Linked DNA regions of Oryctolagus cuniculus. The protein of the gene in region 2 interacts with the protein of the main gene of each other region in a biochemical or structural test. Links are inferred from orthologs where the notes say so. Each region holds a gene or a part of one and is shown on either strand. Other genes may lie near its edges. The genes, in order: MCM3, KEAP1 and AMER1.

The links.
Region 1: the proteins of KEAP1 (region 2) and MCM3 form a complex in vitro, tested with the Homo sapiens proteins (2 studies listed by BioGRID, with this or other methods). The link is inferred for Oryctolagus cuniculus from reciprocal best matches to the Homo sapiens genes KEAP1 and MCM3.
Region 3: the proteins of KEAP1 (region 2) and AMER1 form a complex in vitro, tested with the Homo sapiens proteins (2 studies listed by BioGRID). The link is inferred for Oryctolagus cuniculus from reciprocal best matches to the Homo sapiens genes KEAP1 and AMER1.

What each region holds. Positions count from the first base shown.
Region 1 is NC_091436.1:117,750,944-117,754,473, reverse strand, and holds part of MCM3 (DNA replication licensing factor MCM3), read right to left. Parts: intron 1,776-3,530; coding exon 1,635-1,775; intron 716-1,634; coding exon 612-715; intron 95-611; coding exon 9-94; intron 1-8. UniProt on the Homo sapiens protein: Acts as a component of the MCM2-7 complex (MCM complex) which is the replicative helicase essential for 'once per cell cycle' DNA replication initiation and elongation in eukaryotic cells.
Region 2 is NC_091447.1:66,950,699-66,954,973, reverse strand, and holds the start of KEAP1 (kelch-like ECH-associated protein 1), read right to left. Parts: upstream 2,829-4,275; 5' UTR 2,588-2,828; intron 2,410-2,587; exon of another isoform or gene 2,190-2,409; intron 1,937-2,189; exon of another isoform or gene 1,411-1,936; intron 984-1,410; exon of another isoform or gene 962-983; 5' UTR 915-961; coding exon 276-914; intron 1-275. UniProt on the Homo sapiens protein: Substrate-specific adapter of a BCR (BTB-CUL3-RBX1) E3 ubiquitin ligase complex that regulates the response to oxidative stress by targeting NFE2L2/NRF2 for ubiquitination.
Region 3 is NC_091453.1:44,206,506-44,210,535, forward strand, and holds the start of AMER1 (APC membrane recruitment protein 1), read right to left. Parts: upstream 2,822-4,030; 5' UTR 2,605-2,821; intron 1-2,604. UniProt on the Homo sapiens protein: Regulator of the canonical Wnt signaling pathway.

The DNA.
Region 1 (3,530 bases), on a different chromosome or scaffold from region 2:
TCAGTCACCTTGAGGCATTTCCTCCTCTGTGTCACTGAAGTCATAGGGGTCGTATGATTCACCATCCTTGGCATCCACCTGGCGAGTCTTCCTCCTAAAATAACCAGAGCAGGTGAGAAAGACAAAGGCTTTGGAGCCCCATCCTGTGCCAATAAGCACGGAGAAAAGGAAGTATAGCCACCTATCACTGAGATGAAGCAGCAGGCTCAGGCCTGTACGACTGCTACATTTACCAAAGAACAAATCTGCAGCCTGGAGCACAAGCAGGCCCTGCTGCACAATGCTCTTTTTCCATATCACCCACTCATATAAATTCAACCACAGGCATAGGAGGAAACAATGACCTCAAGATTATTAAGTATATATTCAAAATCCTCGGTGAGTGGGTGACTGTTCCTGCTATTTAGCAGGTCCTTAGCAGGAAGGGGATCAAAAATACCTCACAAAACACACAACAGAGGGACTCACTCCCTCTCCTTTCCCAGGCTGGTTATCCTGATCTTCAAGCCCTGCAGGTCAAGTATTCTTTCTCTATGTAAGCAGGGCTGAACCACCCTCCACACCCCAGCCCCAGCCCCAGCCCCACTCAATGTTGTTCTGTACCACCTCACCTCTTCCTTTTCTGTTCTTGTTCCTCCTGGCTTTTCTCCCCTTCTTCTTCTGACTCCGACTCATCCTCACTCCGCTTCTTACGCTTCTTCTCCTTCTCCAGAACCTATGACCAAGGCAAGCATGGGTGGGCTGAAGGGGTCACTGACGCTATGAAGCTGAAGAACTCTGAAGAGTCCCTTCTGAGCATCAGCAGAAAGGATTCCCAGGTTTCTAATGACTTACACAGCCTCTCTTGTCCCCAAGTCCCAGGACCAGAGACAGAGGGAGAGGTCATTACTTATTTTTAAAATGCTGGGATATCTTTCACATAGTAGATGCTCAATCAAGAAATAAAAGGGGGTGGGGGACTGTCCAGCCCATAATGGTTAAGTAGGAAACAATTCATTTCTTTACAAATCAGGTATTAAATTGAAATTTAAGACATCCCCAAACCTGGCTAAGAGAAAAATCCAAGAAAAGCATATCAAACCATAACTAAATCCTTCAGGGCTACATCACTAGATACAGGAAGGGAAGGGGCAGGGAGGTGCAAAGAGGCAAGGCTTAAAGGCTTGATATCTAGAACCACAAGGATACAATTTCAACACAGAAATAGGGAACCAGGATGAGAGGCAAGTTTGAGAGTTTCATTCTTGACCCGAGGTGCCAATGGGACATCTGAAGAGACTGCCAAGAAGCAAGGTACAGAGGGGTCGAGAGGTATCAGAGGTTTACCCTGATAACCTTAGGAAATACCTACTTCCTTAAGACAAAGGAAGCAGGCAGAAGCAGTGGCCTGAACACATAGCAGCTCCGTTAAACCATAATCTCCAGAAGCCCTGGCACTGTTACTTTAAAGCCTTCCATCTGAGTCTCAGGAGCAGCCAGGCTTGTGCACCACTGTTCCACAGGGAGGAGTAAGGCAGACAAATGCTGCTTTCAGCTCAAGAGCCAGCGCAGGTGTCAGCCGTGCAGGGTTGTTGAGTCCACGCGCCTGTGATTTACTCACAAGTCTTCCCATGCCCAAACATCGGAATCCTCACCTTTTTGAAGTAAGCATACTGGACCAACTCCACAGCTTCCTCTGCATCCTGAAGGTCCACAGTCTTGCTCATGCGGGCCTTTGCATGGGCAGTGGCCAATCGAATCAGGGTTTCCAGTGTTCGGGCTGTAACTGGCGATGTCTACAGTAGAAAGCAAGATAGGATCATTTATCCAGCTTTGGTTAGCCATCATTCCTACTGTACAAAAAGTGAAACAGAGATACCACCAGGAGTGGGTGTTTGGCTTAGCAGTTAAGAGGCCCATGTCAGGGCAGGCCGGTGGCATAACAGGATGGGCCTCTGCCTGCAGCTCCGGCATCCCGGTTTGTGTCCCTGCTGTTCCTCTTCCAATCCTCTCTCTGCTTATGGCCTAGGAAGGCAGTGGAGGATGGCCTAAGTTCTTGGGCCCCTGCACCTACATGGGAGGCCCAGCTTTAGCTACTGCGGTCTTTTGGGAATTGAATCAGCAGACGGAAGACCTTTCTGTCTCTCCCTCCTTCTGTGTGTAACTCGGCCTCAAATAAATAAATAAATAAAATCTTACACACACACACACACACACACACACACACACACAAAGAGGCCTATCTCTGAGTGCTTGACTAGATTTGATTCCCAGCTCTACTGCCTGATTCCAGCTTCCCACTAACGCAGACCATAGGAGGCAGCAGTAATGATGTATGTAGTTGGGTTCCTGCTTCCCCATGTGGGAAACCTGGAGTCAGTTTCTGGGACTCCTCCAACTATCCTTGCCATTGTGGGCATCTGGGACTGAACCAGTGGATGGTAGCTCTGTTTGTCCCTCAAATAAATATTTTAGAAAATATCAGAAAGCTCCAGGAAACCCAAAAAATTCAGAGCTCTACATTCTCTATAGATACAAAATAACACTCAGATATCAAAATGTCAAGTGTTGAGGGAGAGAAAATAGGAAAGAAGAAATTTAGACATCTTAACAGCTGGAAAGATAAAAGGCCAGAAAGAGTACAAATGTGAAAAATAATCATTTAATGCAGGCATACAATGTAGCCAGAAGTCTGCTGTTCTATTCATTCTGTCATTTAACCTTCTGAATAATCTGTAAAAGTTCTACAGGTGAAGGAAACGGGACTCAAAGGGCTGCTCAAGATTACAAGGGAAGGGCATAGAAGAGGTAATCTGAGAACAAATCTTTCAGTAGCTCAAGTCCAGAGAAGAACAGACAGAGGGCTAGTTCTTTGGCACCTTCCCACTGCCCCTCATATGATCCTTTACTGATCTGCTCTGGTCACATTTACTTGCATGTTTTCTAAGTTTCCATTTATATCCACTCCTTCACATTTAAAGAGATCTAGTCACCAAATCTTTTAATCCCTTAGAAAGTTACAAGAATTTGGAGATTATACCCTCCAGTACAAGGTCCATTCTAGAGAATACAAATTGAGGGATCTACCAACCCCAGCAAGATGATTAAAATGCCATATTTTGTTGAATTCTAGGTTCACTGAGAGGATCTCTGACACACAGCAATAGGTTCACATGTAGAGAGGAACAGCTGAAAGAGAGCTAAGAAGACAAGTGACATACAATCTTCAGAAAACAAAACTAAGATCAAAGAAAGGGTAGATGTGGGGAAACAGGTTTAAACTGAATAAATGGGATACTCTAAGATTTCAGTGCAGTGATGTTCTGAAAGTGCTTTCACCAAGGCGTGTAAAGAAGTCCAAGCTGGGCTCCCAGGAGATAGCATGGGGCTAGAGTACAAGATCTGGGGTCATATCTAAGTTCCCAGAGTTCATGTCAGTGTCACATAAGCAGGGTTTTGAACTTGAGAGTCTTCCTGCTGTGATAATCTGCATGAACACCACTAACCTCAAAAGATTTAAATTTAAGGGCAGCGGTGTTAGGTTACTAGAG
Region 2 (4,275 bases):
AGGTTGTGGGCACTAAAGAGAACAAGGACCAGGGTCAGGGCAGCCAGCAGCCTGTCTTCGCTGTCCTGGAAGGAACTGCTGACCAGCGCTTGGCCGTGGTCACGGTCACTGCCTTCTGCCCCTACCTTTGACCCCAGGGAAACCAGGGTCACTGTCCTGGTGGTCAGATGTGTGGCCAGGGCCCTCGATCCTCCCCGGCTCCCCCTTGGCGTCTCACGGGGATCACGCCCTGGGGCGCGCCCCTCCGTGCCAAGCCCTCCCGCCTCCCGGCTCACCTCCCCGAAGTGCATGTAGATGTACTCGCGGGCGCGCTGGTGCAGCTCGGCGCAGCCGATCTGCTCGGCGAAGTTGGCGATGCCGATGGCGTTGCTGGGGTCCAGCTGCTGCACCAGGAAGTCGCTGCAGGCGCGGACGACGCTGTCGATCTGGTACATGACGGCACCGTTCATGACGTGCAGCACGCACTTCTCGCCCATGGAGATGGACGCCGTGTAGGCGAACTCAATGAGCCGCTCCATGACCTGGGGGTGGATGCCCTCGATGGACACCACCTCCATGCCCTGCTCCCGCAGCCCGTTGGTGAACATGGCCTTGAAGACCGGGCTGGACGAGGCCAGCACCACCTTGTGGGCCATGAACTGGGCGGCCGGCGTGTCCTCGTACTTGACCTGCAGCGTGACGTCACACAGCTGCTGGCTGAGCCGCAGCTCATTCATGATCCCGAAGGCCTGCTTGGTGTGGTCCTCCAGCGTGTAGCTGAAGGTGCGGTTGCCATGCTGGGAGGGCGTCACCTCGGCCTTGCACTCGGTGGAGGCGAACATCATGGCGTCCCCCGCCCCCTCGGGGCGCTGTGACTGCTGGGGCAGGAATCGGCTGCAGGCCTCCGCCCCGCTAGGCTCGGCTTCCGGCTGCATGAGGTTCCAAGTGACAAGGGATCACGCCGCCACGGACACTCAGGGGCCTGGAGGAGGGAGAGCACAGGGCTGGGGGCAGGGCAGGGGTCAGGCCAGCACCTGCCAGGCCCTCTTTCGTAAGACAGAGCCATTCCCAAAGCAAACCTGGTGAGGTGGGGTCCGGTGGAGCTCCCCACCTTCTCCTGGCCGTGCCCACCCAGGGGTCCACCCAGATCCTGCCCCCACCCCCAAAACCACACAGGACCCCTCAACAGCTGGCAGGATAGTCAGCTCTTGTCCACCCACTTCTCTCCAGCTCACTCCATCCAGCCATCCAGCTACCTCCTCCCTTCCCCAGTCATGTCAAGTTCATTCTTTCGCTCAGCCCTGCAACATCTATTGAGCGCCTGCTGTGTCCCAGGCACTGTGGTGTCCTGGCCCACACCCCTCTGGGAAGGTGAGGTTGGCGCTGGGGCGCAGGGAGCAGCAAGGTCCGGTCAGGAGCTGAGAGACTCACAGAGGCTGAGGGCCAGGGCTTGAGTCACGTTTTGAAATCCGCGGCACCTGCAAGGCGCTCCCAAGCTCTGGGGCTCAGCCCAACGTCGCCTCGTTCTCGCCCCCCCCCCAAACTCCACCGCGGAGCTTCAAGGGGGCAGGGAGCCCCCTGCAGGCCAGCGCTGGGGCCACCCTCTCCTGTGTGTCCCCGCGTCCCGCCCGCGGCCTGGCACTGCGCAGGAGCCAGTGGCTGGCCGGCTGCCCACGCCACGGTGCCTGCCAGAGCCGCCCTCCTCCACCCTGCCCGGCGCGCCGCTCGGCCCCCTCTCCCCATGCGAGGCCCCGGGCTGGCCTCTGGATCTTTGGCCAATCGGTCAACGGTGCCCCTGGGCACCAAGCACTTCCCCCCCGCCGCGAAGCGACAAGTGGGGGACTGCGCATGCCCCGCCTGAGCCGCCACCAAGGCCTTGGAGAAGCGAGGAAGTGACCCCGCCGCGGCCTCTTGGCAGCCAAGGCCGCAGCGCGCACCCAGCCGTCGCCAACGCCCCGGGATCCCCGGGCTTTCGTCTGCGTGCGCTCCCCCCCTGCGTCTCACTCCCGGCTTCCGTGCCTCTCCGGCCGCCCCGGCAGTGGCGCCGTCCAACAAAACGATCGGACCCCGGCCGCGCCCTCCCGGGGCCTCCGGGAACTCGGAGGCGGCCCCAGGGCCCCGCGCTCCCATTCCCGCGGCCCCCGGCCATGGTCGCCGGGGCGCCCGAGGCCCGCGGCGCCCGCAGCCTGGGCACAGGCCGCCTCACTCACCCCGCCATGGTCGCGCTGCGGCTCCGCCTCCGCCGCCGGAGCCCGGGCGCCTCCATCGCTGCGCGCCGGGGGGAGGCGCGGAGCGCGCGTAGGTCACCATGACTAAGCAGAGCGCGGCGCCGGCCATGTCAGAATAAAAGTCCGCCACCCCCCCACCCCACGCTCGGTGCGCCGCGGCTCCTGGCCCCGGGCGGCGTGGACAGGCCCCAGGCCGCGCCCCCAACCCCCGCCCGCGGTCGCCGGGTTGCGCAGCCCCGGCGCAGCAGCGACCACAGCGCCAGCCACGGCGGGGCGGGGGATCGCGGCTCCGTTCGGCCGCGTGGGGCGTCGGAGCCCCGAGTTCGAGGCCCCGTTCCGCGCCCCGGGATTCGCCGCCACCCCTGCCGGGGTTCACTCACCTCCGTCCCACGGGGTGGGGAGGCACGGGGCACGATGGTGCCACCCGCGCGCCACGCTTCCGGGAAGCCCGAGGCGGGGTGGTGGGTGGGGAGCCGCGGCTCTGCGCGGGGTGGCTTCGGCCCTAACTTTGCTACTGGGGACCCGAGGGCGCCCCCGCCGCCTATGGGGGGGCCTCGGCTCCGGGGCGGCGTGGCCAGCGGGGTCGCAGACGTCGGGTGGGGGGTGGCCTCCGGACTCCCGGGAAGGAGGCGGGGAGAAGGCGCGGAGGGCGCGGCGGGGAAGGAGCTGCGATTCCCCGCCTCTTTCCCCGCAGGTGCCTTCGCGAGGGACCCGGCGTCCCGCAAGGGTGCAAGGCCGGCGGGGCGGGCAGGTCTCGCACCCCTCTCGCACCGTCCCTTCCATCTGGGCAGGTTTCGTCCCTGGGGCTGCTGTGCGCGACACCTGTTCTTCTTATCCACACAGTGCATGCCCGCTGGAGCCACCTGCCTAGCTGGGTTCCTGTTGTCTTTATTTTTCAGTTATGCATGGAACCCACCTGCGGGGATTCGAACCCCCGACCCGCCTGCTGCTAACTCTGCGCCCACAGAACCTTAGTTTCTTCCACGTTCCGTGATGGCGAGGACAAAAGCGCTATTGCTAATTTTTCTCGGCACGGTTGCTCTTGATGACATGAAGTTAACTTTTCAACAGACGCATTTCAAGTTTGAAAAGTGGACAGGCCGAGGAGATGTTTGTCTAAGAACAGGGTTGCTGGAGTCTCCGACGTGAAATCTGGGGGCTTTTGATGTTCGGGCTCTGGGTCTGGGGTTGAACCGGGCTGGGGTGGAGCGCTCCCCACACTGGGCTGTGTGAAGCTGCAGTTCCGGGAAGCTCCCGAGGGGGGCGCTCCAGCCGTGACTGTAACCCACAGCCTCTGACATCTCTCCAAACCAAACCTGCAGGCCCCGTGGGCCAGCCGTGCTGCCTGTAGAGATGTACCCAAGAGACATTCACAAGCGTGCAAAAAAGTGTTATGTGCACAGTCTTACTGCAATATGAGGTCTGTTGTGGCAAAGAATTGTAGCAACCTGCGTGATGCTCCGTGGGCTTGGTACGAAGTGGCAGGGGCTGGTGTTGGGGCACGTGGAAGTAAGCGCCATCTGGCACATCGGCAACCCATATCAGAGTGCCTGCGCTTCCAACCCACCTTCCTGCGACCAGTGTGGGAAGGCTGCAGGCGTGGCCCAAGGACTGGAGCCCCTGCCACCCACGGGAGAGACAAGGATGGAGTTCCTGACTCCTGGCTTCAGCCTGGCCCAGCGTGGATGTTGCGTCTGGAGAGTGACCCACATTAAGATGCCCGTGTCCACACTGCTGCACGTGGCTCCCCCTCCTCTTCCTCGTCCTCCTCCTCTTCTTCTTAAGATTTATTTATTTATTTGACGGCTGGTGCCGCGGCTCACTAGGCTAATCCTCCGCCTTGCGGCGCCGGCACACGGGGTTCTAGTCCCGGTCGGGGCGCCGGATTCTGTCCCGGTTGCTCCTCTTCCAGGCCAGCTCTCTGCTGTGGCCCGGGAGTGCAGTGGAGGATGGCCCAAGTGCTTGGGCCCTGTACCCCATGGGAGACCAGGAGAAGCACCTGGCTCCTGGCTTCAGATCAGCACAGCGCCGGCCGCAGCAGCCATTGGAGGGTGAACCAACGGCAAAG
Region 3 (4,030 bases), on a different chromosome or scaffold from region 2:
CAACCTCTTCTCTCCTTCTGGGCCAGACCATCTCAACCGCAACAGTCAGTCAGCTCACTCACCCTGTCTGCCAGCTACTCTTCCCCACTCCGAATTTTTGCTAGCCCTCTGCCTACAAAGTCCTTGTACTTTCTGACAGCTTCCCAGGAAGATCTCCTGGCATACGCAGGTCTTTCCTCGCTCTCCACAGCAGCGTGCCCCTGAGTTAGCAACCAAAGGTATGCAAAATCTGGGGTCTGAGCCATCCAAATGCAGAGCTTCCTCTTGGGGGATCCATCACAATTTTTATTCTTGCAGTTGGAACCTAGACCCCTTCTCCATGCTCATAAGGCACACTCAGTAAATATCTGAGCCACGTGTATCCTTTCTCGAGTCACTTGCCAATCAAGACAAGCACAAGTTGGAAAGGTGAAGGTCTTCTCAGCTGCTCTACAAAGAGAGCAAGTCCTTGGGAGCATTCAGTAAGTGCCCTGCACTGCTAAGTTTTGAGAGAGTTGTGGCTGAGGTGCAGGTTTCATTTGTTCCTCTGAAGGGTTCTGGGAGAACCCAGACATCCACAATACCAGGGAGACAAAGCAAAGGTAGGGAAACTTAATTACAGTCTGCCTTCTATTATAATTTAAGCCAGAAAATGCCCAGGAGACGCAGGTAGCCCTGGAGGAGTTGGGGGGGGGGCAGTGAGGGAGAAGTCACCATGGGTGGCAAACAGGGAGGCAGAAAAGGCACCAAAGAGAAGGTAGGCCTAGAACTGGGGCCTGCCAGGGAAGAGGATCTGGACAGGTGGAGCTCAGTAGGTTTGGATGTGGGGAAGGGAATTACATAGAGCAGTGAGATACATTAGGGGACTGTAGGCCTGAACAAGGCAGGGGGCACGTTCTACCCTGAACTGGAGAGATCCAGCTACAAGTGGAGGCCTGGTCACGGTGGTCTCTGCAGTCCTGGCTGGTGTCAAAAAGGTCCCCAGCTAGCCTTCCCCCAAGTCAGGGATTTACTGGGTCTTATTGCCCCTCTGCAAAGGTGGCCAGGGTTCGCCTGGGCCCTGCAGTCCACGGGTTCTCCACCCTCAGAGGTTGATCAAAGGTCCAAGCAGAGCCTGCCAGGTTCCTGTTCCTCAGAAAGGCCTACAGAGCCCATTGCCAGAGGTGCACCATGGTGCAGTGCCTGTGCAGTGGGTGGGGCCGAATGAGGGGAGCTGCACGGGGCTGGGGGTGGGGGGCTGAGCTGGAATCCCCACGGGCGGGGCAGGAGGGAGTCCAACAGCGCAGTGCCCTCCACCCTGCCCATGCCCACGCCGCTGCGGCAGGCGGGCAGAGCCGCAGAGGGAGGTGTTTGTGTGCGGGACAAGGCTCGCCTTGACCCTGCGGCCCACGCCGCGGCGAATCTGACCAAACGAAGGCTAGCTCAGCTCTGCGGGGCCAGTCGAGCTGCCGCCTGGGCGTCTGGGCTGCGGCTCGCCAGGCGGGCACAGCCCCCTCACTGCCTGAGCAGCAGCCCAGGCAAAGTCCGGCGTCTGGGCGGTCACCAGTGTCAGAGGTGTCTTTAGCAGACAATGACAGTGGCCAGGCGGGTTGGATATTTTAAGTAACTGCAAAGTTGTCAGGCTCGACTCCCTAGCACCAGCCCTTTCACATACACAGCGACGGTGCGTCCCCTACTACAATGACTGGCTCCTCGGCCTCTGGCACGGAAATTCCCGCACAACACTGCGCCTATGGATATTTTTAAAAAGGAGGCCTTAGAGAAAAGCGCGCCAGTGCCCCTCCAAGGGAAAAAGAGGAGAGGCCGGGGCCGGGGGGAGACAAAGCGGCCTTGCAGCTCTAACCCAAGGACTAGCTTGCGCTGCAGCTCTGACCCAAGGACCAGCAAGAGCCCGCTGCCGGCCCGCCTGCCCGCGGAGGCGGGCGCCAGATGCGCCCGGAGGCCCAGGAGGAGGGGGCGCGGCTGGTTGGGGCCGCCAGGCCGAGGCTCTGAAGGGAAGCGGGCAGCCCACAGGCCTAAGGGAGCTTCCCTCAGGCCCGAGGGAGCTCCCCTAGAGAGGGGGCAGACAGTGTGGATAGGCTAATCCACGCCAAAGCCAGTCCCAGTGGGGCCCGAACCAGCGCGCCGGCTTCGTCCGCAGAGAGGAGGGAGAGGCAGGAGATGCGCAGCAGAGGGGAGGGGCCGCAGCAGGGCCGCTGGGGTGAGCAGTACCCGCGTACCACAGCTGTTCCAGCAAATGTGCTACAACAAAGCTGCGGAGCTCCCGGCCTACAGATGCGCGGCCTGGGGTACTGGCTGGCGGCGCCCCTCCCGGGACTGCGCGGCAGCACGTGCGGGCCCATCCCCGCCTCCCCCAAAAGCCTGGAGGCATGGCCCATGCTAGCTCGCCCTCCCCACCCTCCATACCTTCCCCACCCCCAGCCTTGGTCGCCCGCGCCCAAGGGACTCGCGGCCGCTGGGCCCCTCACGGACAGTCTGTAAAGCGGGCTCCAAAGGAGAGAGGCCAGCGGCCCCGTTCCAACCAGCCCAGTCCTTAGTGCCCTCCTCCAGGCGACCCGAGCGAAGCACGCGGGAATGCACCCGACCGCCCGCAGGCGGAGGCTCCTGGCTGCGCGCAATGCTTACCCGGCCCGGTCCGGCTCCCAGCCCGGTTATTGTCTGCTGCGCCGCCCTGGCCGCGGCTGGATCCTCGGCTGCCGCGGCCGAGAGCGCCGCCACCGCTGCTCCTGGCGCCGCCGCCGCGGCTCCAGTCACCTCCTGCACTGACTCCCCTTCCCCAGGCTTTGGGCAGCTCCCCCATACCCCCTCCCCACCGGACTCCACGGCCACAGGGTGGGGCGTCATTGCTTTGATTGGCGGGCGTATGACCCAATCGCTATGGTGGAAAGGCGTGCCCGGACTGCCCACTGTTTTCCTTGGTGCGTTTCTCTTTAAATGCAAATAAGCGCGGGCGTGGTGTTGGCAGGAGGCGGAGAGGGTGCGGAAACCCTTTCTGGGGCTCCCCGCTCCCGCCCCCACGCCAGGCGGGTTGCGGCGTGGCTACACCGCTGGCTGGATGGGCCGGTCCCTCCCGGATGGAGTTCGCTGGATCCCTGGAGTTCGGTTTCGGTTTTGTACGCGCTCCCATTTTCGTGGCCGCCTGCATTCATTTTTCTGTGCCCTGGCTGCCACCCCGCCGTTCATCCCAGAGCTCTAGCTGGTAGAGAGTTTGGGTGGGTGGGGTCTAGAAGACTTCACAGCCCCTTGGCACCTTGGCTTGCCTATCCTTAGGCGTAGAGACAAGGCCCTGTGGCTCGCACTCCCAGACCACCCAGAGGAGGCACTCACCTGCTAGGCAAGCCAGCTGCAGCTCCCGTGCCCCAGCTTCATTGGTCTCTGTTGCACCCCAGGGCCCTTAGGGAGACTGAGGTCGACTTCCACCCGTTACGGACAAGCCGGCTACTGTCCTGAGAAAGGAAGGAATTTCCCCAAGGTTCCCCAGCCTGTCCTAGACAGGGGCAGATTTGGATTACAGAGCCCCAAACTTCCCACTCAGGGCTGCTTTAACTTTTCTTCTATGGGGAGATGTTTCCCCGTCTTGCACAGAGCCTTCTGGAGATCCACAAGGTCTCCAGAGACCCTTCTCGCTCCCCTTTAACTGTGAGCCTGACTGTCTACAGGTCCCTGTCCCTGGAAAGTCTAGATGTTGAGAGAAAAATCTTGTCGGGGCCCAGACAGGAGGTTGTGCTGAAGACACAGGGAGTAGGCCTGTAGCAGCCTTGCCCTCCTCTCTGAGATGTGGCAGGGGGCCAGCCCAGCTTGGGTCTCTAGCCTGAGGACATTAAGTGGCATTAGTGGCTGCCAGGGCCAGGTGAGCTGAGGCAACAAAGAATCCAGTTCTACCACTAGCTCAAGAATATCCAGAAGGCCCTGCCCTAAAACTGTGAAAGTCTCAAAAGGCAGGAGGGTGGGTTAAGGCTGAGGAGAGGGGGAAGGATTAGAGAACAATGCATGCCAGTTTTGTATTGCAGGAGTGTTCTGTGCTGCTCCACGGGGTCCTGTCTGCCTTGAA